3 linked regions of the Notamacropus eugenii genome follow. The protein of the gene in region 1 interacts with the protein of each later gene in a pairwise test. Links are inferred from orthologs where the notes say so. Each region holds a gene or a part of one and is shown in the gene's direction. Other genes may lie near its edges.

Evidence for each region. The genes of interacting proteins can lie anywhere in the genome.
Region 2: the proteins of DTNB (region 1) and DMD interact in binary tests that used the Homo sapiens proteins (3 or more experiments, as listed by UniProt). The link is inferred for Notamacropus eugenii from reciprocal best matches to the Homo sapiens genes DTNB and DMD.
Region 3: the proteins of DTNB (region 1) and BEGAIN interact in binary tests that used the Homo sapiens proteins (3 or more experiments, as listed by UniProt). The two-hybrid records come from large-scale screens. The link is inferred for Notamacropus eugenii from reciprocal best matches to the Homo sapiens genes DTNB and BEGAIN.

The regions. Positions count from the first base shown.
Region 1 is NC_092872.1:526,514,427-526,522,178, reverse strand, and holds the start of DTNB (dystrobrevin beta), read left to right. Parts: upstream 1-4,339; 5' UTR 4,340-4,470; intron 4,471-7,752.
Region 2 is NC_092876.1:441,926,020-441,933,885, forward strand, and holds the start of DMD (dystrophin), read left to right. Parts: upstream 1-4,673; 5' UTR 4,674-4,765; coding exon 4,766-4,796; intron 4,797-7,866. UniProt on the Homo sapiens protein: Anchors the extracellular matrix to the cytoskeleton via F-actin. Ligand for dystroglycan.
Region 3 is NC_092872.1:354,341,182-354,349,897, forward strand, and holds the start of BEGAIN (brain-enriched guanylate kinase-associated protein), read left to right. Parts: upstream 1-5,523; 5' UTR 5,524-5,638; coding exon 5,639-5,689; intron 5,690-8,716. UniProt on the Homo sapiens protein: May sustain the structure of the postsynaptic density (PSD).

The DNA.
Region 1 (7,752 bases):
TCAAAACCAAGGCAAATCATTCAACATCAAAGTAATACAAATTTAGGCTCCAACCACTAAAGAGACCAAAGTTGCTCAGTTCTATGAAGACCTCTATCTTTTAGAAATAATATTAAAAAATGTCACATTCATCATTGGGATTGAAATCCCAAAGTAGGAAATCAAAAGATAACTGGAACAACAGGCAAGTTTGGCCTTGGAATACAAAGTGAAGTGGGGCAGAGACTAATAGAGTTTTGTCAAGATAACTAACTCACTACTCATAGCAAATACTCTTTTTCAACAACTCAAAAGGCAACTCAGCACAAGAACATCACTCGATAGTCAATCTTGAAATCAGTTTGATTATATACTTTGCATGTAAAGGAGGAGAAACTTTATATAGTCAGCAAAAAAAAAAAAGATCTGGAGCTGATGGTAGCTCAGATCATGAGCTTTTTACTGCAAAATTCGGACTTAAATTGAAAGAAGTAGGGAAAATCTTCAGACCACATATGTGTGACCTAAATAACATCACTTATGACTAAGAAGTGAAGGTGATGAATAGATTTAAAGGATCTGGTAGAGTGCCTGAAGAACTACAGACAGAGGTTTGCAATATTATATAGGAAGCAGCAACAAAAGATATTCCAAAGAAAAAGAAGACCAACAAAGGAAAACGACTGATTGAGACTTTACAAATAGCTTGGGAAAGAAGGAAAGTGAAAGGGAAAGGAGAAAGGCAAAGATATACTCAACTTAATGAAAGTAGAATTGCAGAGAATAACAAAAAGAAATAAAGCTTTTCTTAAATGAGCAATGCAAAGAAACAGAAGAAGACAATAGAATGGGAAAGATGAGATTTTTTCAAGAAAATTAGAAGTATCAAGGAAAGGTTTCATGCAAAAACAGGCAGTATAAAACACAAAAATGGTAGGGACTTAACAGAAGCAGAAGAGTTTAAAAAGAGGTGGCAAGAATATACAGAACTATACAAGAAAGATTTTAACATCATTAATAACCACAATAGTGTGGTTACTGATCTAGAGCCATACATACTACAGAAGTAAGTCAAAGTAGGCCTTAAGGAAGCACTGAAAACAATAAGGCTCTAGTGGAGATGACTGAATTCCAGCTGGGCTATTTAAAATCCTAAAAGATGTGCTCCATTCAATATGCCAGCAAAATGGAAAACTCAACAGTGGCCACTGGATTGAAAAAAAAAATCAGTTTATATCCCAATCATAAAGAAGGGCAATGCCATGGAATGTTCAAATTACGAAACAATTACATTCATTTCACATATCAGCAAGGTTATACTTAAGATTCTTCAGGCTAGGCTTCAGCAATATGTGAACTGAGAATTATGAGAAAAACAGGTTCGTTTTCAAAGAGGCAGGGGATCTAGAAACCAAATTGACAACATTCACTGTATTATGGAGAAAACAAGGGAATTCCAGAAAAAAACATCTTTTCCTCCTTTACTGACTATACTAAAGCCTTTAAGAATGTGGCTCACCACAAAATGTGTCAGGTCCTCAAAGAGATGGGAATACCACATCATCTTACTTGTCTCCTGAGGAACCTGCATGCAGGGCAAGAAGCAACAGTTTGACCAAAACACGGAACAACCTATTGTTTTAAGATTGGGAAAGGGTACAAAAATGCTGTACATTGTCACCTTATTTATTTAACTTATAAGCAAAGTACATATCATGTGAAATGCCAGGCTAGATGAATCAAAAGCCAGAATTAAGGTTACCAAGAGAAAGAGCAACAATCTCAGATATGTATTTAATTCTACTCTTAAGGCAGAAAGTGAAGAATGAAGAAGCCTATTGATGAGGGAGTGAAAGAGGAGAGTGTAAAAGCTGGCTTGAAATTTAACATAAAAAAACCTGTTAAGATCTTGGCAACTATTCCTATCATTCGACAAACCAGGGGAGAAGAAACAAAAGCAGTGTCAGATTTTATGCTCTTGGGCTCAAAGATCACAGCAGACAGCAACTGAAGTCATGAAATTGAAAGATGCCTGCTCATTGAAAGGAAAGCCATGGCAAATCTGGACAGCTTACTAAGAAGTGGAGATGTCACCTTGCCAACAAACGTCCATTAATCAAAGCTATGGTTTTTCCAGTAGCAGTATATGACTATAAGGAGGGCTAAGCACCATACAATCGGCAAGATTTTGAGAATTCTCTGGACAGCAAGTAGATCACTTGAAGTATCCACAAAGTTCTGACTTGGGGGAACCTGGACTCTGAAGAGAGGGATCTGAAGACTACTAAAAAGTAGTCTTTTGCTTGTTATGTCCCTATGTTGAAAACCTCAGAAAAATCAATTAAAGCTTTAGCTTGGCTCATGTGTACAATCTCCCCAAAGGGGATCAGACAGTTACTAAATGTACAATATAGCTTAGTTAGAGGACAGCCATTTATTTCCTCTCCACAAAAGAAATCCTCAAAAAACAACTCATAAATGTACACTGTAAAGACTTAAAATGTTACAGTAACTCATTAAAATATGATACAATAAGTCATAACTCCTATTCTACTCTCTCAGGAGGTTGGAACTTAAAAAAATTAAAACATGAAACATTTTGTGGAGCTGCTAAACAATCATTTAATCTTCACCTTGTCTCTGCCCTCTTTGAACAATTTCTTAAAGGTACAGTTCTCTAGCAAAACAAGTCAGGGCTTGAGTTTTTCCTCCTGTTTGTTGGCGGTCACCTTCTCTGAGAAAGGAATAGTTACAGAAAACTCCACTTCTCATCAGCTTCAACTATGAGATGCAAGATCTCCTGACCTGTCAGACTCATCAGGATGCCTCCAAACCTGGAAATGTCCATTTCAGGATTACTGTTTGGTCACTTGTGTTAAGAGAATGAATAAAAAGCAAAAAAGGCAGCCAAGGCCTTGAGATTCCTACCCAGGCTCACTTAGACAAACACATGCTCAGACTTCAATGAAACAAGAGACTGATAAGTTGGGGAGAGGAATGTACCCCTTTCTCTTATGAGAAGAGAAATCCTCACAGAACATGCCATTCTTGTCAAACTGAAAAAAGCAGTCCTCCAGAGGGCAGTCACTCCTTTCAAGGTTTACGGAGGGAGTGGCTCTTTCTGGCTCAGTGGTCAAGTCTCTTTCGAAGCATCTGTCTCCCCTTGCTGCCACCATTGGGACCAAGGCATTTTTACATGATCCCTGAACCCAGATTTTCCCCATGCTAAACCCGAGCATAAGCAGTCCACTGAAAGTGGTCAGGGGAGCTCAGATCAGTTTTATGCATGGTCTAAAGGGGGAATGCTCTAGCTGGAGCACAAAGGTGAGGGAAATTTCACGAATATACAAGTATGTATGGATGCGGATTAGACCTGTATAAGGGAACTCCCCAGGTGAGAAAACTCCCTCTATCAATTCAGTTCAGTATTTTCTCTGTAATTTATAACCTCTTTTAAGAGAGTTGCCTAGTACACTGAGAGATTAAGTTACTTGCCCTGGGTCATATATAGCCACTTGAATGCAGGTCTTCTGTGGCTTGAAGGCTGGGCCAGGTTGTCTCATATTTATATGATTATAATATAAAATGAATAATAAGTATATTTTAAAACCACCACTTAGATACGTTTCAATTATATGGAAAAGTCACATCTAGTTCACGTGAAGGGCACAGGGGTGCATCACCCTTTCAACAGTAATGACATTTATATAATAGCACGTTGGCTTCACAAAATACATTATCTGATTAGCTCCTCACAGTCAACTAGGGAGGTGGGTAATTAGTCCTACTTCACAGACAAGGAAACTGAAGGTCAGGGTGGTTGAGTGACTGGTCCGGGCCACAGTGAACGCAAATCTTCGGCTCCATCCACAAGACCTCCCCGCCCCCCGCTCGACAGGTACAGGTAGCAAGAAGCCTCCTCTCGGGCTGAGGTTCTGCTTCCCACCTTGGCGCAGGCACTGGAGCTCCCACTAGCAGGGATGCCCCGCTTCCAGGTGGCACTTTTTGTCCTAAGGGCCCGGAGAATCTCCTGAGGGGAAACTTCTCTGGGGCCCCCGGCTCCCGGACCCCCGGGACGCCCCACAGCCGGCCGAGCTCCGCAGGGACTGAGGGGGAAGGGCTCGAGAGAACCGGAGTGGAGCTCCGCGCGCGAGGCCCCGCCCCCGCCCCGTGCCTGTTCTCGCGCGGGCGAGGCGCTGAGCCGCGCGCGCCGTCGTCACCCCCTCCCTGCTGCGCGCCTCCAGCCCCCCAGCTCCCTTTCCCCCTCCCCCCTCCCCTCCGGCTCGGGTGCGCGCTCGGGGCTGGGGAAAGCGGCGCGAGCCGGGCGGCTGCTCACGTTCAGGCGCGGGGGCGGCTCCGGGGCCTGGGCGGGCGCTGCTGCCGCCGCCGCCGCGGGCAGCGGACCGAAGAGAAGGAAGAGAAGGAGGAGGAGGCTCCGGTTGCCGCCGCCGCCGCCGCCGCCGCCGGAGATCCTCCCCCCACCCCCGGGAAGTGAGTACTGCTGGGGGGCGGCGGCGGCGGAGGGCAGCCTGCTGCGCCCCCGAAGGAAGGCAGCTGGGTAGCCTGGCAGCCTGCTGGGGTCCTTGCGGGCGCGAGCTCCTGTCCGGGAGCTAGCGGACCCCGGAGCCCGGCTGGAGCGGCCCCCGGCGGGCGGGCTCAGCGCCGCGCGGGAGAGGGGCTGCTGTTAGTGCCGGGGATCCCGGGTCCGCACCGGGGCTCGAGGGGGAGGGGTGCCCGGCGGTGCCCCGGGAGAGCGTGCGGGCCGGGACCGGGCCGGTGCCAAGTGCGGCGTGCCGTGCCAGCGAGGCAGGACCTCGGGTGCCCGGTGCAGCTGCCGAGGCGCTGACCCGAGCTGGCGACTATGGGGCTGGAGGGAGAGCGATCCGAAGGCACACTGCAGTATATGCTTAGCCTCGGGAAAGGGGAGGGTCCCCTCCTGTCCCACCCTCTCCATCTCCCCTGCCCACCCCGTGCCAGGTTTGCAGCTGCTCTTTGCCACTCGAGAACGCGGCGGCGCCGGGGACTCCATGGCGCATTCGGTCCGGGAGCGGGGATGAGCCCTTGCTGATGTTGCCTGGAGGAAGCAGCTTCGAAAGAAGACGATCTGCAGCGAGTGCTGAAGGGGAGAATGGGGCAGGTCCTGGCAGAGGGCAGGTGAAGGAGGCAGGCCCTGGCAGAGAAAGTGGTTATCGGTCATCGAGTCTTGAGAGAAAACAAGAGACTTGCAATTAGAGTGACCTAGAGTTCTGAGCCCCTAAAGGGAAAATAGCTGTGGGATTTGAGGTCAGGTGTATGCCTGATTGTTAGGTTCCTTACTCTGGCCTGGGAATCCGGCCCTCTGGTATGATCATTAACAAATAGTTATTGAATGCCTACTTTAGGTATAGGGCACACAGTGCTAGGTAGGCATTGTAAAGGCCTCTTGAAGGGCCAGTAGTCCATTTGGGGAGACAAGAAACATATGAATACAGTGGCAGTGAGTTTTATAATTCATTACTTAGTTTTAACTTGCTGAACTCCTTTGCTCCTTTATCTGGACATTTGGAGCTTAAATGGCCGGTTTGTGGGAGAAAAGCACAAGGGTCAGATGAATAGCTGAGTGCAGTTTTGGGCTATTTTGGAAGCCCTCAAATTCAATACTTAGAAGGTGGGTGAGAAACCAGAGCCAGGATTTCATTAGCTGCTCAATTGGCCAACCTTTATTTAAGGTGAGCAGTACAGAATCACCGCTTCAGATTAAGGTGGACGTATGGACTTTTCACATGGAAGGTCGTTCCAACCATGTCAACATAGGTCTAACTCCTCAGTGTGAACAGTAACAGTGGCTACTGCTTATGGGATACACTGTTTTCTTGTCTGCATCATGTAAGCTGTATCAAAGGAGTTTCTTTAGGGTCTTAGAATGATGTGGTCTTTCCTTTTAGCTTGTAATGTGCTAGTTTCATGTAGATACTTTTACTTAAAAACCTGTACCCTTTCAGTTTTATCATGACGTCTTTGAGAAGAAAGTTATATGTTTTTAGTGTTGGTGAACTGTGAAGATTAGGATTCTTCTATTTATTCTGTTTCTTAGTTGAGTTTAGGGGTCTCAAGTTCCAGGCTGTTGTTTGACTTGCTTGGGTTGCACTGCCTGTTGGGTTACTTTGTCTGCCAAATTAAAACTTGACCTTTTATGAGTTCTGAGAGAATTCTTAGTACCCATAGGTGAAACTGGCCTTTAGAGTATAGTATGTTCTAGATAATACTGATAGATTTCAAAAGATCGAAGTAGTTCTTTAGTTGTGAACATATATTTAAGTAAAGCACACATATGCCAAGCACTGCGCTAAGCACTGGGTATACAAAGAAAGGCAAAAACCACTAGATCTTGGGATACAAAGAAAGGCGTCAACAGTGATAGTAGTAAACACTACTGTTTGTGCTTTGGTGCTATTAAATGACATATTTTAAATAGTTTTCATGAAATTTACTTGGGGAAGAGATGCTGGCAGCATATTCTTGTTAACTGTTCTAAACATGTTTTATAAATTCTAGACATTTAAAATAAACTTCCTACACAGGGAGTGAAAATTTTCTATTATGTGTATGCTGCTATTCCTTAGAAACAAAGTTCCTACTGGTAAAGGAGATTTAGATGTCAACTTAGCCAGCTTTTAATATATGCCTACTATGGCTAGGTGTGTATGTGTGTGTGTGTGTGTGTGTGTGTGTGTGTGTGTGTGTGAATATAACTACAAAAATGAATTACTTCAAGGAATTACATTTACTAGGTGTGAGGTTATACCATACTTATAGATAAGCAAATATAATACAGATGTAAAATGTTGGGGTTGGGGGAAGTTAAACTAACCACTAGGGGAATTAGGAGGGATTACTTGAAGGAGGGAGCAGTTGAATTGAGTCTTGAAAGGAAGTGGGCAAATTTCAAGAGTGAAAGCTAAAGAGGGAGAACGAGACCTGATAATTGATTGAGGGTGGGGTGGGTGGGAAGGGATGAGAGTGAAGAGTTGAGGGTGACTTCTAGGTTAGGAACCTGGGTGAATGGAAGAATGGTGGTGCCCTTGACAGAATTAGGGAAGTCAGGAGGAAAGATAATCAGCTCTGTTTTGGATATGTTGAGATTGAGATGCCTGTGAGACATTCAGATAAAAATCTCCAGTAGGTAGATGGAGATGTAGGACTGTAACTTACGGGAGAGATGAGGGCTCTGCACATAGAATTGGGAATCATCTGCATAGAGATGACTACTAAATCAATGGGAGTTGATAAGATCATTGAAAATAATTTTTCTTAGGCGCTGTACCTTGTTAGTAGTTGCACCAGGTCACAGTCATAAAATGTGAAAGGACTTTAGAAATCATCTAGCTGAGCCTCCTGATTTTACAAGGTAAAGGTAAAACAGTAGAATCATGACAAGAAGAACCCAGGTCTCCTAATTTTTAGTTTTTCAGTGCCCTCTCCAACCCACCAAAATAGTAAGCACACAAATACCTTTGAGCACATATGATATTTACTACTAACAGCTTATTTATTGGTTTGAGGATTCAGAGAATGGAAAAGATGTGACCAGAGAAATTTATGATGTGAAAAGATTGAGAGTAAGAGATAACTAATGAACCACAGTGCTCCATTGATACTCCACACAGTGTTAAGAGAACTACAGGAAGACTTCCAGCATTATAGGTAGATGTAAAGAAAATAGTTGCACAGTATAAGAAGGGAGGCATGATTTACCATCAATGGAAGTAATAGCCTTATTGATGAGATCACAGA
Region 2 (7,866 bases), on another chromosome or scaffold:
AGTCCTTTGAACTCCTACAGAACTTTATATCTCACTTAATTCATTTTCTTTCTATTAGATTTAGTTGTTCACATGTTTTATCTTCCAGATCAGATTATAGTATTCCTTGTCTCAATGTGCTGCACATGGTCATTCACACCAAAGGTCTCATTCTATCCCAAAGGAGAACAGGCATCTTTGAGAGGTAATAGGTTGCCTCTCAATTGAGCCCTTTAACCAAGTGTGGCTAAATGACCTGTGTATTCTTCTGCTTTGAGCTAGACTTGAAACCCTAGGAGTTCTCTCCAATTCTGACATTCAGTGTTTCTATGAAGTCTTATTTATCTTTGTGACTCTCTCAGTGTCTCTTTTAGTTCCTTTCTAGAAGTAGAAAATTCATATTACATATCTGTTGAATGAATGAACCCCTTATCTGAGTTTCTTCAAAACTTATGGTTTGTTCCACCCAATTTAGCGCTTAATGACAATGTAATTTAATAGCCATTAGTTTTTTCATGTGCCATTTGGAACTTGGAATATCTCTTCCAATGGTAGGACGCAGGTAAATGTCACCAGTTCTTCTATTTCTCTTCCCAGGCAGTCCTACATCTCATTTCATTTTACTTATTTTCTTGATGAATTTGTAAGCTCATCAAAGAAGCAAGGGACAATAGGATGATATGTATATGATATTTGTTAATGAGTTAATAGTAGCATTTTGGAAGAATTTTTAGAAAATATTTTTACAAAACAATCTTGTTCCTGGAAAAGCTTGGTGGCACAGTGGATACAGCACTAGACCTCGAATCAGGAGGACCTGAGTTCAAATGTGACCTCAGATAATTACTAGCTTTGTGGCCAGGGGCAAGTCATTTAACCTTGGTAGCTTAAAAAAATCAAAACAAAAAACAAATACCTTCCTTATAACCCCGGCCTGCTCTGTTTGTGGTTCTCAGGGCAAAAGGAGATTGCTATATAGCTCTAGTCTTCTTGGTCTGATTTAAGTTGTTTTTTTTTTTTTAACATATCAAGTTTTATTTTATTTTTTCTCTCAAAATATTATGTTTTATTGACTTTTAAGTTTTTTATTATTAAATTATTTTGTTTTCAGTATTCTATAATCACTTCAATATATCTTAGATTTTTCCCCCTCCCAACTCCACTTTCCCCCCTCCCTTCCCACTCCCTCCCTGAGATGACATACAGTTATATAGGTTCTACACATACATTCCTATTAAATATATTTTCTCCTTAGTCAAGTTGCATAGAAGAATTAAAATGAATGGGAGAAACCATGAAAAAAAACAAAACAAAACATAACACAAGAGAAAATAGTCTGCTTCATTCTGCAATCCAATTCTATAGTTCTTCCTCAGGGTGTGGCAGGCATTTTGCCTCAAGAGTCCATTGGGAATTTTTTAGGTTCTTGCGTAGCTGTGAAGGGCTAAGTCTACCAGAAAAATTCCTCTCACACTGTGGTTGTTGCTGTGTACAAATTTCTCCTGGTTCTACTCCTTTCACTTAGCATCTAACATATCAAGTTTTTACATTAGGGATGTTAGTACCAAAAAGATCCCAAGGGAAATTGAGGAGGAATGTAAGTGTCCTGAGGACAAGAACTATCTGAACTTTTTCTTTATATCACTGGCACATAACATATAGTGAGCATTTCATAAATTCTTATTGATGGACTGAATAAATACTAACCAAGGATGAAGGCCAGAGAATCACAATATGCAACATTAGTCTATGTTAAATAAATATGGAGTTCAAGTCTTTTAAATCTGAAGTTATTGGCACATCGAGAGCCACTTGTATGTGGACATACAGTTTATGTCAGGTCTCAGAGGACCTTTTAGTGTTTCTTCGATATATTTAGAGGGCTGAATGCAGGGACCTATTTTCTGTTTGATATATTGATCCATAGGCCTGGAACACATATTCTCTGGGACAGAGATCTTGTTTAGTGCCCTTTAGAATCTTAGAGGTAGAATATATAATGTTGCTCAGACTTTTCCTTTCTCCTCACTGCCAACCCATACCTACCTAACGGTAGGCACAGCCAGTCCATTTAGTGTGAAATGGAAGTATTACATCTATTGTAAGAATACTTATTAGCAACAGTAAAGCATGTGCATTTTAAATTATAACAATTCATATTTCATTTTCTCTTCTATAAAGTGTTTGACAAATTAATTAGTGATTATTCTGTGAAGGTACGTAATAAAAAAAGACATAATTAGTGGTTAAAAAACCTTTCTCCTTTAGTCACAATTTTGTTCAATCACATCTTTTTTTCCTCTTTCTAAACTACTCATTTAATATTGTAAATCATCTGATGCTTTTTTTCTTAGTAATACAGATTTTCCTCCCTCTTATTGAATATCCCTCATTCAGGGATGTCCCAAAAGTCTAAGTAAGCTTTGAAATCTTTTTTTTTAAGCTTAAAATTGCTCAATGAATCTTTGGGAACCTTGTTTATAAGTAGTATTTTTCTTTCTCCCAGTTGTTGGTAATCATCAGTTACTAGTCCCAGACACACACAGGAGTTGCAATGTGTGGACAACACAACCCCTTAACACATGACATTAAAACATCTTCTAAGCAATTTTGACATTTGATGTGTCCTTTTAAGTCTTTTTTCCCCCTTCAATTTGCTTTTTAGGATGGTCTAATCAGTCTTCACACACACACACACATACACACACACACACACACACACACACACATACACCCTTCAAGCTGATGTATGCCAAGTATTCTTAATAAAGAGTGTCTTTACATTTTAATAATAGAATTTTTATTTGATTCACTGTTTCTTGAAGGTATAATCTACAAGTCATTACCATAGATCAAAATTGTTTTCATTATTATTTTTGCACTGGGACAGTTTTCCTTGCCTTTTCCAAGTAAATTTATGTAAAATTACTAGGAAGTAAGTACCAAAGAAACAACATTGAGATTCTGATCTTACAAATTTTGAGATGTGGATAGTGTCCTTGATTTCAGCAATGTACATACTTCTACCACCAGCTCAGATTTTAATCCCTCCTTAAAAGTCCTCCCAGACTTAAATTGTATTAATAGGCATTTCAAATGAATTTTACTCCTAAAGGGTAAGGGGACACCACAGGATTTTTAATACTGGGTTACCTTATTGCATTAAAAACTAGTCTATTTATCTCTCCTATCACCCCCATCCACCAATACAACCCCTTTCCCCCCCACACAGAGTTAATTTTGTTATTTTTCAGTAATTTCAGTTGTCTGATTCTTTGTGACCCCATTTATGAGTTTTCTTGGCAAAGATACTGGAGTGGTTTACCATTTCCTTCTTCAACTCATTTTACAGATGAGGAAACTGGGATAGAGTTAAGTGACTTGTTCAGGGTCATACAGCTGGTGAACCTGAGACCAGATTTAAAATCAGGGAGTTGAGTCTTCCCGACTCCTGGACCAGTGTTCTATCTATTGCACCAACTAGCTGCCCCACAAAGTTAATACTTGGTTATCAATTTGGTGAACAGAATATGGGAGTGGAAGGCAGACGTCTTCAGATTCAGGACCCAATCCACTGTTAAGGACATGATATTCAACACACCATTACCCTCCATGAGCTTCAATTTCCTTATTTGTAAAATGAGGATACTTTACTAAATCTTCTCGAAAGACCCCTTCAACTCTAACCTTCTATGATTTGCTGGCAACATCTATTGTGTAAATCAAAGCACAATTATTCCAGTTCTACACTGAAATATTTTTCCCTTGTGCTCAACCTGTTTATTTGAATGTCAAACAGAATGGCATTTTTTCTTGTTGTCAGTGAATAAATTTAAGAAAGAGTACATGATTAGGAAAGAAGTTTTAGTTTAACCTGAAACTTTAATGGGTTTCCCCAAAAAAGTTTATATTCTTTCATTTAAATGAATAACGCTCCCTGGGAGACATATTTTCACTACAGCTCTCTACTGCAACTTTCTCCTACTTAGACTCAACTCTGAATTGTTTGCATCATCAATTTATGATTTTTGATTGGATCCCAAGGGAAGTAAATTAATATTTGTAGTTTCTGGATACATAATTCATGCACAAATCATTCCAGGCATGCATTTGCATGTCAGTCAGAAAAAAGAAAAAAAAACTGCAAGTGCATTTGAATTGAAAAAGAGAAGAAGCTTTTGAAAATTTGGCATTGATAAGAATGAGAAAATTCTATGAATTTTGGGAAGATACTTAGAAATTATTGTTAGGACTTTTCACGACAGTCTTTGTGTATTTAAGAGGCACAGAGAGCAGTACTCTAGCTACTTTACTATTTTAGCTTCATTGCTAATCAGGAAGCTGTTGGTCATCTTTTGAATTTGTTATACAGTACATGCCATCCTGGAAGCACAGCCTTATATGTAGAGTTCATGGGCAGTCCTATTATGGGAAACCAACTTGTTTTGAGGGAAGCCCAGCTGCCTGCTTCTGCGCAGGTCCTGGAATTTGAAACATCTAGGGACCTCTATGGAATCCTGGCATCAGTTACTACATCGACTGACTCTTTGGGAGTTAGGCTCACTCATTCTCCCCTTACAAGATTCAGACCTTAGAAGCAGTGAACTTTAGAGATAAACTTCAAAGAAAACAGAGAGGGCTTTATTTATTTTTTTTTTTTGGAAGGTTACTTTGGCTTCTCATTTTTACTGACTCGCCTAACTCTAAAAAACCTACTGGAGTAATAAAGCTGAGGACATTTTCATTAAGATATTCCCTGTTGCCTTGATATTTTATTTTTGTCCAAATGATTTGGTATGAAGAAGCAGAAGACTGTTGTAAGTATAGACTAAAATAGTTTTATGATTTTTGTGTTTCTCATATAACTTTAAATGTCAAATATTATAAGAATTTCAGCTTAAGAAAATAAAATAGGTAATATAAATGCTCATGTATTGTGTACAATAATGAATATACAAGTAGTTACTTATAGGTAAATATACTGAATTAGGAAAACTTTTTTTCCAGTCTTACTGGACAATAATTACCAGTATTCAGAATGATCTTAAATACTTTTGTGTTAAAAGTAGAAGTAGTAAGGTATTAATATTTATATCAGAAGTTTTGCTCCCATAAGTTAAATTCCATGGTTGTCTATGTTTATTGGTATATACATATATGTAAATGTGTTAGTGTTTTTTATGTGTGACAGTTATCTGTAATATTCCCAGCTAATGTAAGAACTAATAAACTACCTTTCAAAAGGGAGAGGGAAGGGTCTGGGATAAAACTATGTATGTTTTAATAAGTATAGTGAGTTGAGATAGATTAGGACAGAATGGAAAGATTTATCCAGCCTTCTTTCTCTTATATTCCAGGATATCTTATTATTCTTCATTTTAAGAGGCTGTCTTCTATTTTCAGTTCTAGGTAGTACTCATGTATGAATTGTCCTAGAGTATGAAAGAATGCCTTCTGAACTGAGGAAATATCTTAAAACTTTTGGGAATTTTAACTATGCTTAGTAGTAAAGTTAGCTTAAAATACTGTTCATCTTTTATATCTGTGATGACTAAGCTGTTTTCACTCAGATACTTTTGGTTTGCCACTATTCCAAGACCAACTCTTTAGCATCTTTATTTTGAAGCAGATCATGGCTCCCTAGGTATTTTAAATTTTTATTGCAATAAGCAAATAAAAATGATGTATTGTGAGGACAATCTGTTCCAAAGAGATGGGTTGACTTGATTACCTAAGAGATGTGTGTGGTTGTTTTACTTGTTTCTTAACTCTTATAGATCTAAGATTATCGCCACTCTCAAATAGATTCAAGGACTGAAACTGTATTTAGGAGAGGGGAAATAACCCAGTAATTTCAATAACTGTTCATCAGTTTCAGGAAAAGAAGAAAAATGTTGCTGAGAAAACTTTGCGCGAAGGAATTAATGATTTTATATTGGTAGCTCCTGGTTTTGGAATGTATACACTTCATTACTTCCTTTTATTATTCTATGTAGTGTTGGAAATCACCAGGGTTGCATTCCCATTAAAAAAATTCTCTGAGTTAAATTAATTTTAAATAATGTATATGTTTGCATATATTACATACATCATGATACTTAATCTTTGATAACATATCAATTCTCTGTAAGAGATGATCTTAAATTAAAAGAGTAGTTAGAGGAAAAATGAAAATAAATTAATTTATAAATGTTTGTCAAAAGTAAGATATAGCTTATAGGCATGTATAATCATTTGTGGCAACTTATAATCTCTGATAAGATCGATAAAATTGTGAAATGTGAATACATAGTTATTAGAATATAAAAGAAAAAGAAAAAAAATCCTAACATTTAGACTATCCAAAAGTAGAATGAGCTCTGGTTAGAGGTAAGAAGTTCTCCCTCATTAGAATTCTTCAGATATGTTATGAATGACCACTTTTTAGGTATGTTGTATGAAAAACCTTGGTAGGTACAAATTTGGTTGAATGGTCCCTACTAAATCTAAGACTGTGATAAAGTGATTTAGAGCAGGAAGGGGCTTTAAAGGTTATATAATCCAATTCTATCATATTATGGATGAGGAAACTGGACCTGGAGAAATTATGTGACTTGCTTAAAGACACACTGTATTTGGCAGAGGGAGGATTTGAACTCAGGTCTTTTAACTCCAAGTCCAAGGCTCCTTAATGTGGCTATAAATATTATCTTGTTCTTACTCCTGTGAAGACTAGTATCAATACTCTATTTAAATTTTAAAGACTGTGTTCACTAGGAAAAGCAAGAAAGGTGTCTTAACATTTTATCTCACAGTTCAGTGCCTTAGTGGATGCACTATTTAATGGTGATAATAATATTGGAGATTCATAGAATAAATAAAAAAAGGATATTTATAAAAGGTTATTTTCTATAAAAAAGTATTACTGCCTTGAATCTCAATGTTGATCATCTTTTGAATACAGGATGAGAGATAGAATACAGAGTCATAGTTTTTCAACATTATATTTTGGAAGTTATAGGCAGGCTACTTACTGTCAGTAAAATTCACATCCAATTTAATCTGCTGTATAGCGTGCTTTTGTAATTTATTTTCCTAAATTTATAATCTGACAAGCTTTGAATGCAAGATGATGGTCACTCTCATCATGTACCATAGATTCTATTTACCTACATACGTGTAATAATTTTAACATGTATATAGAGTTCAGGTTTATTTTACATATATGATTTTGTAAATTGTGTATATATATCATCCATGAATATGTATGTTTATACACACACACTCATACATACATAAAGACAGACAGAGAGAGACATGGAAAAAAAGAAAGGGAGAGAAACATGATAGTTTTAGGAGAACAAAATGGAATTAAAACAGCATATTTATGGTATGTAAATCTGTTCTTCTGTCATGTCCTACTCTTTGTGACCATATTTGTGCTTTTTTTTCGCAAAGATATTGGGAATTGTTTGCCATTTCCTTCTCCAGTTCACTTTACAGATGAAGAAACTGAGGCAAACAGGGTTAAGTGACTTGCCCAGAATCAGACAGCTAATCAGTATCTGAGGTCAGATTTGAACTCAGGATGATGAGTCTTCCTGACTTCAGCCAGCATTCTATCCTCTGCACCACCTAGCTGACCTAAAGCATACCTACTCATTAAAGTGTATTCTTGTGGGGAAAGAGGTTTATAGACTCTCATGTTTAATCGTTCCCTATTATCTAAGTCGTACTAAAGTACACATTCATTAAGCAGAGGCAAATATGAAGTAGGACATCTCTTTCTGGCTTGAAGCCTTATTTTAAAACCTTTAAAATCTGTGTTCTAAGTCACTGGCCATATGTTTGACAAACTGTGAAGGTTTTATCCACAGCTGAGGTTTAATAAGAGAGATAATGAAATCT
Region 3 (8,716 bases), about 170 Mb from region 1:
AAGATGCACTTGGAATAGCCCAGGTGAGAGATATTGATAGACAGGATAGATGCTGTGTGAATGGACAGAAAGGAACGAATTTGTAGTGTTATGGGCTTTGGCACTGTGGACACCACCTATGATCCCTACCCCTAGGAGCCAATATTGAAATGTCAAAAGTCTCTGTCACTCCACCATGCCCTGTGAAGGAGATAATGTAGTAAAAGATAGTTTTTCTGCCTTCAAGATTTTGTTGTGGTTCAGTCATTTCAATCATGTCTGCTTCTTCATGATCTCATTTGGGGTTTTCTTAACAACAATACAACAGTGGTTTGCCATTTCCTTCTCCAGCACATTTTACAGAAAGGGAAACTGAGACAAATAGAGTCAAGTGACTTCTCAGGATCACAAAGCTAGTAAGGATCTGAGGCTTAATTTGAGCTCAGTCTTCCTGACTCCAGGCTCAGCACTGTATCCACTTTGCCATCTAACTGCCCTCCAGGTACTCATAGACTAATGAGAGAAATATAACACATGTATAATCATAATCACTTTTAAATATACTAAATATTCAGCAATGTAGAGTAACCATGCAGGGTCAGCTTCTGGCCCTGATGAAATCTATCTTCAAGTTTTTTACTGTTCCCTCTTTAAAAAAAAAAAAAAAAAGGCTTAACTTGGTCATACTAAGAGGCAGCTAGGTGGCACAGTGATTCAAGTGCTAGACATGAAATTAAGACTTGAATTCAAAGTCTGCCAGAAGTAATTTCAAGAGAAAACACTAAACACTTTAGGTATCAGGAGACAATACCTGATCTGGACTGAGTCGGAAGCCAGGGCTTCCTAAGAGCCACAAGACCATTCCTGACACCTCAATTGATTGGTACTATCTCTCTCTTGAAATTACTTAGTACCTACCTACATTGTAGCTATATACCTATTTATATGTGGTATCTCTCCTCTCTCCCCTCCATTTCCCTCATATCTTGCTACTTGTGTGAACCTGGGCAAGTCACTTAATCTCTGTCTATATCATTTGTAAAGTGGGGATGATAATAGCACTGACTTCTCAGGATGGTTGTGAGGATAAAATGAGCTAATATCCATAAAACTCTCTTGAATTTTGAAGAGTTGGATAAATGTTAGCTATTATTATCACAATATCACTAGTTTACACACTGCTTTAAAATTTACAAAATTCTTTGCCTGCCAACAACCTTGGGAAACATTTTGACAATGGCATTGTCTGCCTTGGAACAGGTGCAGGCAAGAGACAGAAGTGAACTCTTCACACCTGGGTCCCCTTTGGGGTTTCTCAAGTTTGGGAGGAGAGATGTCTGCTTGTGTGTAAATGTGTGTGCACGTGTTTGTGTTTGTGATGACTTCTGCATAGTATGGGACACTAGGGGTGACTGTATGTCAAGGAGGGGACCATGTGATGAGGAAAATGAGAAGGGAACAAATGGAACTTATCCAAGGGAGCTAGGAAAGATATACTTAGAATCAATCTTTCTGTAGTTTGCTCTGCCAGACTGGGAACTGGATGGAAATATTGGCTAGTTTCTGCCTTCAAACTTCCCTTTTCTGTCAAGGGCATCACCCTCTTCTCAGTCACCCAGATTAACAACCTCAGAGAAATCCATGGCTCTCTCCTGTCTCTCCCTTTCCCTAGCCAGTCAGTTGCCTGTTCTGTGGCCTCTTTTCTTGCTCTCCATTCAGATAGGAACCTCTGTGGTTCCAACCCTCACCACTTCTCACCTGGACTTTAATAATATCCTCTTAGTTGGTCATCCTCTTTCCAGTTTCCTCCTCTCTCGTTAATCTTCCACATAGCTGCCAAAATCATTTTCAGAAGGCATAATTCTGACTATGTCACTCTGGATAATTATAGCACCTATCTCCCAGGGTTGCTGTGAGGATTAAATGAAATAATAAAATGCTTAGCACCGTGCCTGGCACATCGTAAGCTCTATATAAATGTTATTGTTATTTACTACCCATTGTCGTTAGAATAAAGTACCAGCTCCTCAGCCTCACATTATTTCCTTTCACATACTATTCATTCTAACCAAACTGAACATTTCATTTCTGTCTCTGTGCATTAGCAGAAGGCTTTCCCCCATGCCTGGAATGTACTCCCTTCTCATGTCCAGCTTCTCAGAATCTTTCTCTTTATTCAAGGCTTAATTTGGGTGCCACCTCTTTCATGAAGCCCTTACCAATGCCTCCAGTTGATTACACTCTCTCCCTCCTCCTCAAATTATCTTGTATTTACTTATCTGTACACATGGCTTCCCAGTAGAACATAAACTCCTTTAGGTCAAAGGCAACTCTCTCTCTCTCTCTCTCTCTCTCTCTCTCTCTCTCTCTCTCTCTCTCTCTCTCTCTCTCTCTCTCTCTCTCTCCCTCTCCCTCTCCCTCTCCCTCATTTCCTTTATAATCAAAGCACCTAGCATATAGCAAATGCTTGGGAATGTTTGTTGAATTAAAATGATATTGTAGGAGGATAATTGTACAGGAATAACTTGATGTCCTCTGAGTTCCATTATAACTGAGAATCTGTGATTTGCTAGCTACATAATCTTAGGTCTAACATTTTTGAGGTAGAAAGCAAGCAAATTCAACATAAACAAAGTTCAGTAGGAAAAGCAGAAACATGTTCAGAACCAGTTCTCAGTTATTATGAGTAGATATAAGATTGCAAGAAAGGAACCTAAGAAAGCAACTAGTTCAAACCCTTCATTTTACAGATATAATGAGGGCAATGGTTAATGGGTTTGCAGTCCTCAGAGCATGTTCAGGGGGTGGTTGGATAGAAAGTGGCCTTCTCACTGTTAACCCATATGGTGAGCTTGGAGAATTTGCTTCTGGAAGTCCCTGAAAACTTATAATCGAGAGGCTCTGCTCTTATCGTGAAAGTATCTCAGTAAATGTTTCCTGTCCACTTAATGTGGAGTTACAAAAACCATTTTAAATGACTTGTACCAGATATGCGAGTGCATACAAAAAGCTCCAATGGAGAAACTCTCTTCCTTGGTAACAAGCAAGGCAAGAACTTCTATAAGGCTTCTGGTGGATAAAAGAGGTAGAGCTAGCAGACTGTTCTCCCCACCAGGGCAGATAACTAGCTGTGAGCATATAATGTCTCTGTTTCTTTGTGTTTCTTCTTTCTTAGTCTTAGATGATTGAATATTGAATACAGAAGAGGTTTTTGGATTTGAAATGAGAAAATCTGGGTTTAGGTTCTAGCCCTGCTCCATACTGCCTATAGGACCTAGGGAGCCCCTTCCCTTCACTGGACCTGAGTTTCCTTAATTGTGTAGCTCAAATAGATCCTGGGGTTCCTTCTCCCAACTTCCCACTCCTGGACACTAGGCTTTGCCTTTTTTTAGCTTGGTTCAGCAGCTGAGAACAAGAAGGAACCAGCACTGAGTAATGACCTGCTTTAATCAATCTACCAGTGAATCAACCAGGCAGTAGAGAAGTTATGTCCTTGTAAGCAATGGAAGAACTTGTTCTTTGGCAATTCCATACTTAGAAATGAATTGAATAGTGAAAATATTGTGTTGTCACTATTTTAAGTTTGAGCCTACTATCCCCAGGGATGGAGGGATATATAGAGGGGAAAGGGTGCTCCTAGATTCAGAGGTATTTTGGTTCTTGATTTTTTTATAGTAAATATTTCTTTGTAAAAGTTCATTGATGTTAATTGATTAACTGATATTGGAGTGATAATTGCTGGTGATATTGGAGGAGAAGGGAACACACTGATTGAGGGGGTTGAGTAGCATTAGAAAGATACTCCAACACCTTAGGGATCCCCCTATAATTTTGAAAGGGAAGTGTGGCATCCATCTAGGGAACCAGCTTTCTAGGACAAGTGGGAATTGGGGGAAGGAACCCTAGAGTCTATATGAGCTACACATTTAATGAAACCAAGGCCCAGAGAAAATAAGAGGCTTCCTAGGTCATACAGGTAGTATGTAGCAGGGCTAGAACCTAAGGCCAGGTTTTCTCATTTCAAATCCAAACCTCTTTCTATTATAGCATGTAGATGGAAAATATACAAATCAACAAGGACAACCAGGCATTGACTCTCAAGGCTTCTACTGGAGTCAGGGTGAGAGCAATATTCTTATACTGTGGACCTGGAGAAATTGCTTTCAGCACTCATGCTGGGAGGCCATGTATCTTAGTGCAAGTACTGAAGGGAAACAAGAAAGCTGAACACAAGTCCTCTGCCACTGGATAATGGGTGACCTTGAGCAAACCTTTCATTTCTCTTGCTTGTAGTTTTCTCCTCTGTTAAATATTGATAAAACTAATACTGCTCACCTTCTAGGATTATTTGTAGATCAGATTAGAATGGATGAAAGTACTCTGTGTCAGACTTATAATTTGAATGACAGTATAGTAAAAAAAGGTCACTGGACTATGTTTCTGGTTTAGCTCTGACACTTATTTGTGTGACCTTAAACCAGTCATTTCAACTGTCCAAAGCTCAGTTCCCTCATCTGCACATCAGGGGTAATAATGTTTGAACTACCTCCTTGGCCTTTTTGCAAATAAGGTGACCTTTAAATTGTAAAGTACCATAGAAAAATAGTCATAATAAATATTGTGTGACCCAACTGAATCAGGAGATCCCAACTGATTCCTTGTTCCCTTAGTTTTCAGTCTAAGAATTTAGGATTTTAAGCTCTTTTCTTCCCCCCCCCCCCACCTCAAATTACACCTAGGCCTGACTATCCTTACTCTAACCACAAGTTCCTAACAAACTACCTCGCTAAAAATCAGGAACTAACACCTTAAAAAGATAATATTTGATTTAACTTAGCAGGCATTAATTGGGCATCTCATTTGTGCCAGGCAACATAGAGCAGTGGATAGAAGTCTGGCTTTGGATTCAGTAAGAACTGAGTTAAAATCCTGCCTCTGAGGAACAATAAGGTTGCTGAGATGCTTTGACAGAAGGAATTTCCTCCCCAGAAGTTTCAATACACCAGTGAATTCACAGGTCTCGGTAAGAAAAATGAGCCAGGCAAAGGGACCAGAAAAAAGTCTCTGCCCTCAGAGAATTTATATTCTATTAGGAGAAAATACTGAGTACACAGATAAGTCTCTACACAGTAATGGAGGGTGAACACTCAACCAGAGGATCAGAAAAGGCCTCCTGTAAAAGGAGGCTTTGAGAGGAGCCTTGAAGGGAGGGAAATCTAATGATTCTGTGGTGCAGGTGGAGTGTGTTCCATAGGATGTCAGACTGGAAGGGACCTTAGAGACCAACTGGGTTATTTACATATGGGGAAACTGAGGCTTATTGAGGGAAGTCACAGAGGCAGTTGGAGCAAGACTCGGACTCGAACCCATGTCACACCGTTTCCTCCTAGTTCTTTCTCCGCCTGCCGCCTCCTCTCGTGCTGCACCCCAGGGGTCGGGGACCAGAGCGGGGGCGTGTGTGAAGGAAGTCAGGGATGGGGTGGGGGTGGGGCGGTGGTCCAGCCTCTCGCCTGTTCCGTCATGAAGAGTCCGCGCGGGCGCCTCCCAGCCTGGCCGAGCCGGGGCCGCGGCGCCAGCCCTGTACGCGCCTGCTTGGCTGCCTCGCTCCCTGCCGGAGCAGAGCAGCCCCAGCTGCCGCGCCTCGTCCCCGCGGGTCACCATGTGGAGCAGCGGCGGCTCCAGGCGAAGGGCCGGCCGGCTCCCCCGCGCCGTGAGTACCTCCTCATCCCCTCCTTTCCCCTCCCGCTGCCAGTCACCCCCTCCTTTCTCTCCCCCCCTCCTCCCCTGCCTTCCAGCCTTCCCTCCCTCCCTCGCTTCTCCCCTCCCCCTTCCTCTCCTCCCTCCTCTTTTTCTTTCCCTCTCCTCCTTCCCCTAGCTCACCCCCTTCTCTCTTATCCCACTTCTCCCTTCAGCTCCCTCCACCCCAGCTTCTGCTGTGCGCCTGCGGTGGTCTTGGGGGACTGCGGAGGGAGGTAGAGGGAAACCTGCCACAGGAGCTGTCCAGCCCCCAGAGACTGCAGGGCTTACCCTCGGGACGCCGCCCTCGGTTCACACCACCAGCAGCCCCAGCCTAGAGAATCTCCCTTCTGAAAAGCCCCCTTTAGGATAGCCTGACAGGAGTGCTTGGGTTTGGGACAGAGGTGATTCGGTCCTGATTTCCAAAGACCGGCCGAACGCATTAACCGAATAACGCCTCCGCCTTATTTCTTTCTTGGCTTCCCGGCTCCAGAGTGGCGCCCGGGGTCTTCCCTGGTCACTGCGTGCGTGAAAAGCCTTGGGAAGAAAACTGCAGTTATGCTTTTGCAGGGGAAGGGTTGGAATATATATGTGTGTGTGTGTATATATATGTATATTTCCCCTCCCCGACTGCTTTCGGTCTAGAGAGCATGCATGCCTCAACCTTTTCAGCTAAATGCCTAGTTGGTTTAGGGATTTCCCTGTGCATGCTTAGGGGATGACTCCCTAATCAAGAGCAATCACCAGGCACTCATCTCCCACTTTGACCCGAGGGTTGCCACCTTCCTCTCCAGTTCCCAGGTCACAAACGTAGATTGTCAGAACTTGGAGGAACCTTATTGACCATGTCCTCCAACTTCATCCATTATTTTACAGAGAAGGAAACTGAGATCCAGAGAAAGGGATTTGCCTAAGATCACACAGCCATCTAAATGACGGCAGTACCAGCACTGGAAACCCCTGTCTCCCAACTCCCATTCCGGTGTTCTTTGCACTTCAGCTCACAACTTCCTTTGCTAATCCCTAGTCTTGATATTGGGATGCAGAAAGAAGCAGGGGGTCAGGGTTGCACACAGGCAGATGTTGCTACCTTAAGTAAGCCCTGGAGGTTCAGAGAGAAAGGGGGAGATAGGGAGGGAGTCCCTGGAGCTAGAGCGGTTGAGCCAGGTCGCAGCAAAGCCTGCTTAGTAAAACCTGTGCTTCCCCATCCTCTGCCCCTGCTGGCGGCTCCAATTCAGTTACTGCACCATGTGACAGTTCCCCTGCCCCCACCCCCATGCTGAAAGAGCCTCTTGGGGAGCCTACAGTTTTTTAGCACTGGAGGAAAGGAGATCCCTGGGGCAGAGGCCCAAGGTAACTATCAGAGTAGCAACTCACATTTCTCTGATGCTTTGTACTTTCCTCACTACCTGTATGTGATTCAAGTGATGCCTCACTTTTATACTGATGAGGAAACTGAGGTCCAAAGGTGAAACGACTTGCCCAAAACTCCATAGATATGATGGAGCGAAGCCAGGATTCCTCCCAGATCATTTGGCTCAAAATCCAGGGCTCATTCTACTATACCATGCTGGCAAGAGGCTAAGGATCCAGAGATGAAGGTGCCCCTGTCTCTTTCTTCTTCGTTTTCCTCAGCACTTGCTTAAGTAGGCATTAAATACATTCCAGTTGAATTGAGGCTCAGAGGAGGAAAGGACTCCAGTAGGGCTGTCTAGTCCAGTTCCTACCCAAATCCCCTTCATAATATCTTCAATAAATGGTTCAACCCTGCCACTATTTTTGGTCTGAAGAGAGAAGGGTCACATTTTTGGACTGACACTATCAAAATGAGGGACATCCAGAGAAATTATTGTAACAGTGAAGGGACCGCATAGCAAAAGATTAGTTGAAAAAACTAGGACTATTTAGCCTGGAAAAGAGAATACTAGGACTTTATTGATATCTTCACATGTATGACGGGCTGTTATGGGAGAAATGATTATTAAATAACCAGTTGTTAACACTGGGGAGATCCAGGATTTTTTTCCTTCCTATTTCCTCATTTGGAGAGCTTAGTTCTTTGACAGGAAGGGTTAATGATTAGATGAAATCTTGGGTAAGACTTATCCAACCAGGAAAGCTTAGATCTGATTTTGTTCTTTCCAAACAAGTCTGAGTGGAGTTGGACTTTCTTTACCTAGATTGCCTTAGTTGGGGTATAGTGATGTTATATGGAAAAGAGCACAAGATCCAGGGGTTAATTGACTTAGAGCTAAAAGAGACCTCAGAAACCATCTAGTTGGCCTGTAGCTCCACTTTATAGAAGAGAAAACTTAGGCCCAGAGAAGTTAAGGAATTTGCCCAGTCACGCAGGTAGTGTCAGAGGCAAGAACTGAACCCAGCTCTGATGCCAGAGGCAGAGTTCTTTCCACTGTTGTTCTGCTTTGGTACCAGAAGGCAGGAGGAGCAGCTAGTTCAGAAAGATAGGATGGGGAGAAGTAGGTTAAAGGACTATTTGTCAGGTATGTTAGGGATGAGATCCATACTTCAATGCTGTTTGAACTAATGACCTCTGATGTCACTTCTGGCTTCAAAATTCTTTGGTGATCCACTTGTCCAGGACTACTTAATACTGTGGAATTTAAGGAAAATCATCAAGTCCTGGAGTTTTTAGGGAAAACTTCAAAGAGAGAAGTGAGTGCTAAGGGAGAGTAGCTCTTGAAGGACAGATAAATTTTGTACTGGAAGATGAGAAGATGTCTGGTTGGAGGAAAAGAATACACACAACGAGAGGAGGTTGTGAATTTGGGGGGTTGGATGGGATACCCTATAGAGGGCCTTGAATGGTAGGATAAGAGAAAAAGGAAGAGCAGGACCAATTCAATGATTAGCCATTAATAATAATAGTGTTATCATTCCTGGTACTTTGAAATGATTAGCCCAGAGAAAGCAATATAGATTAAAAAGAGCATAGAATTTAGAGCAACAAGGGGTCTCAGAGATCATCTAATCTAATCCCCTT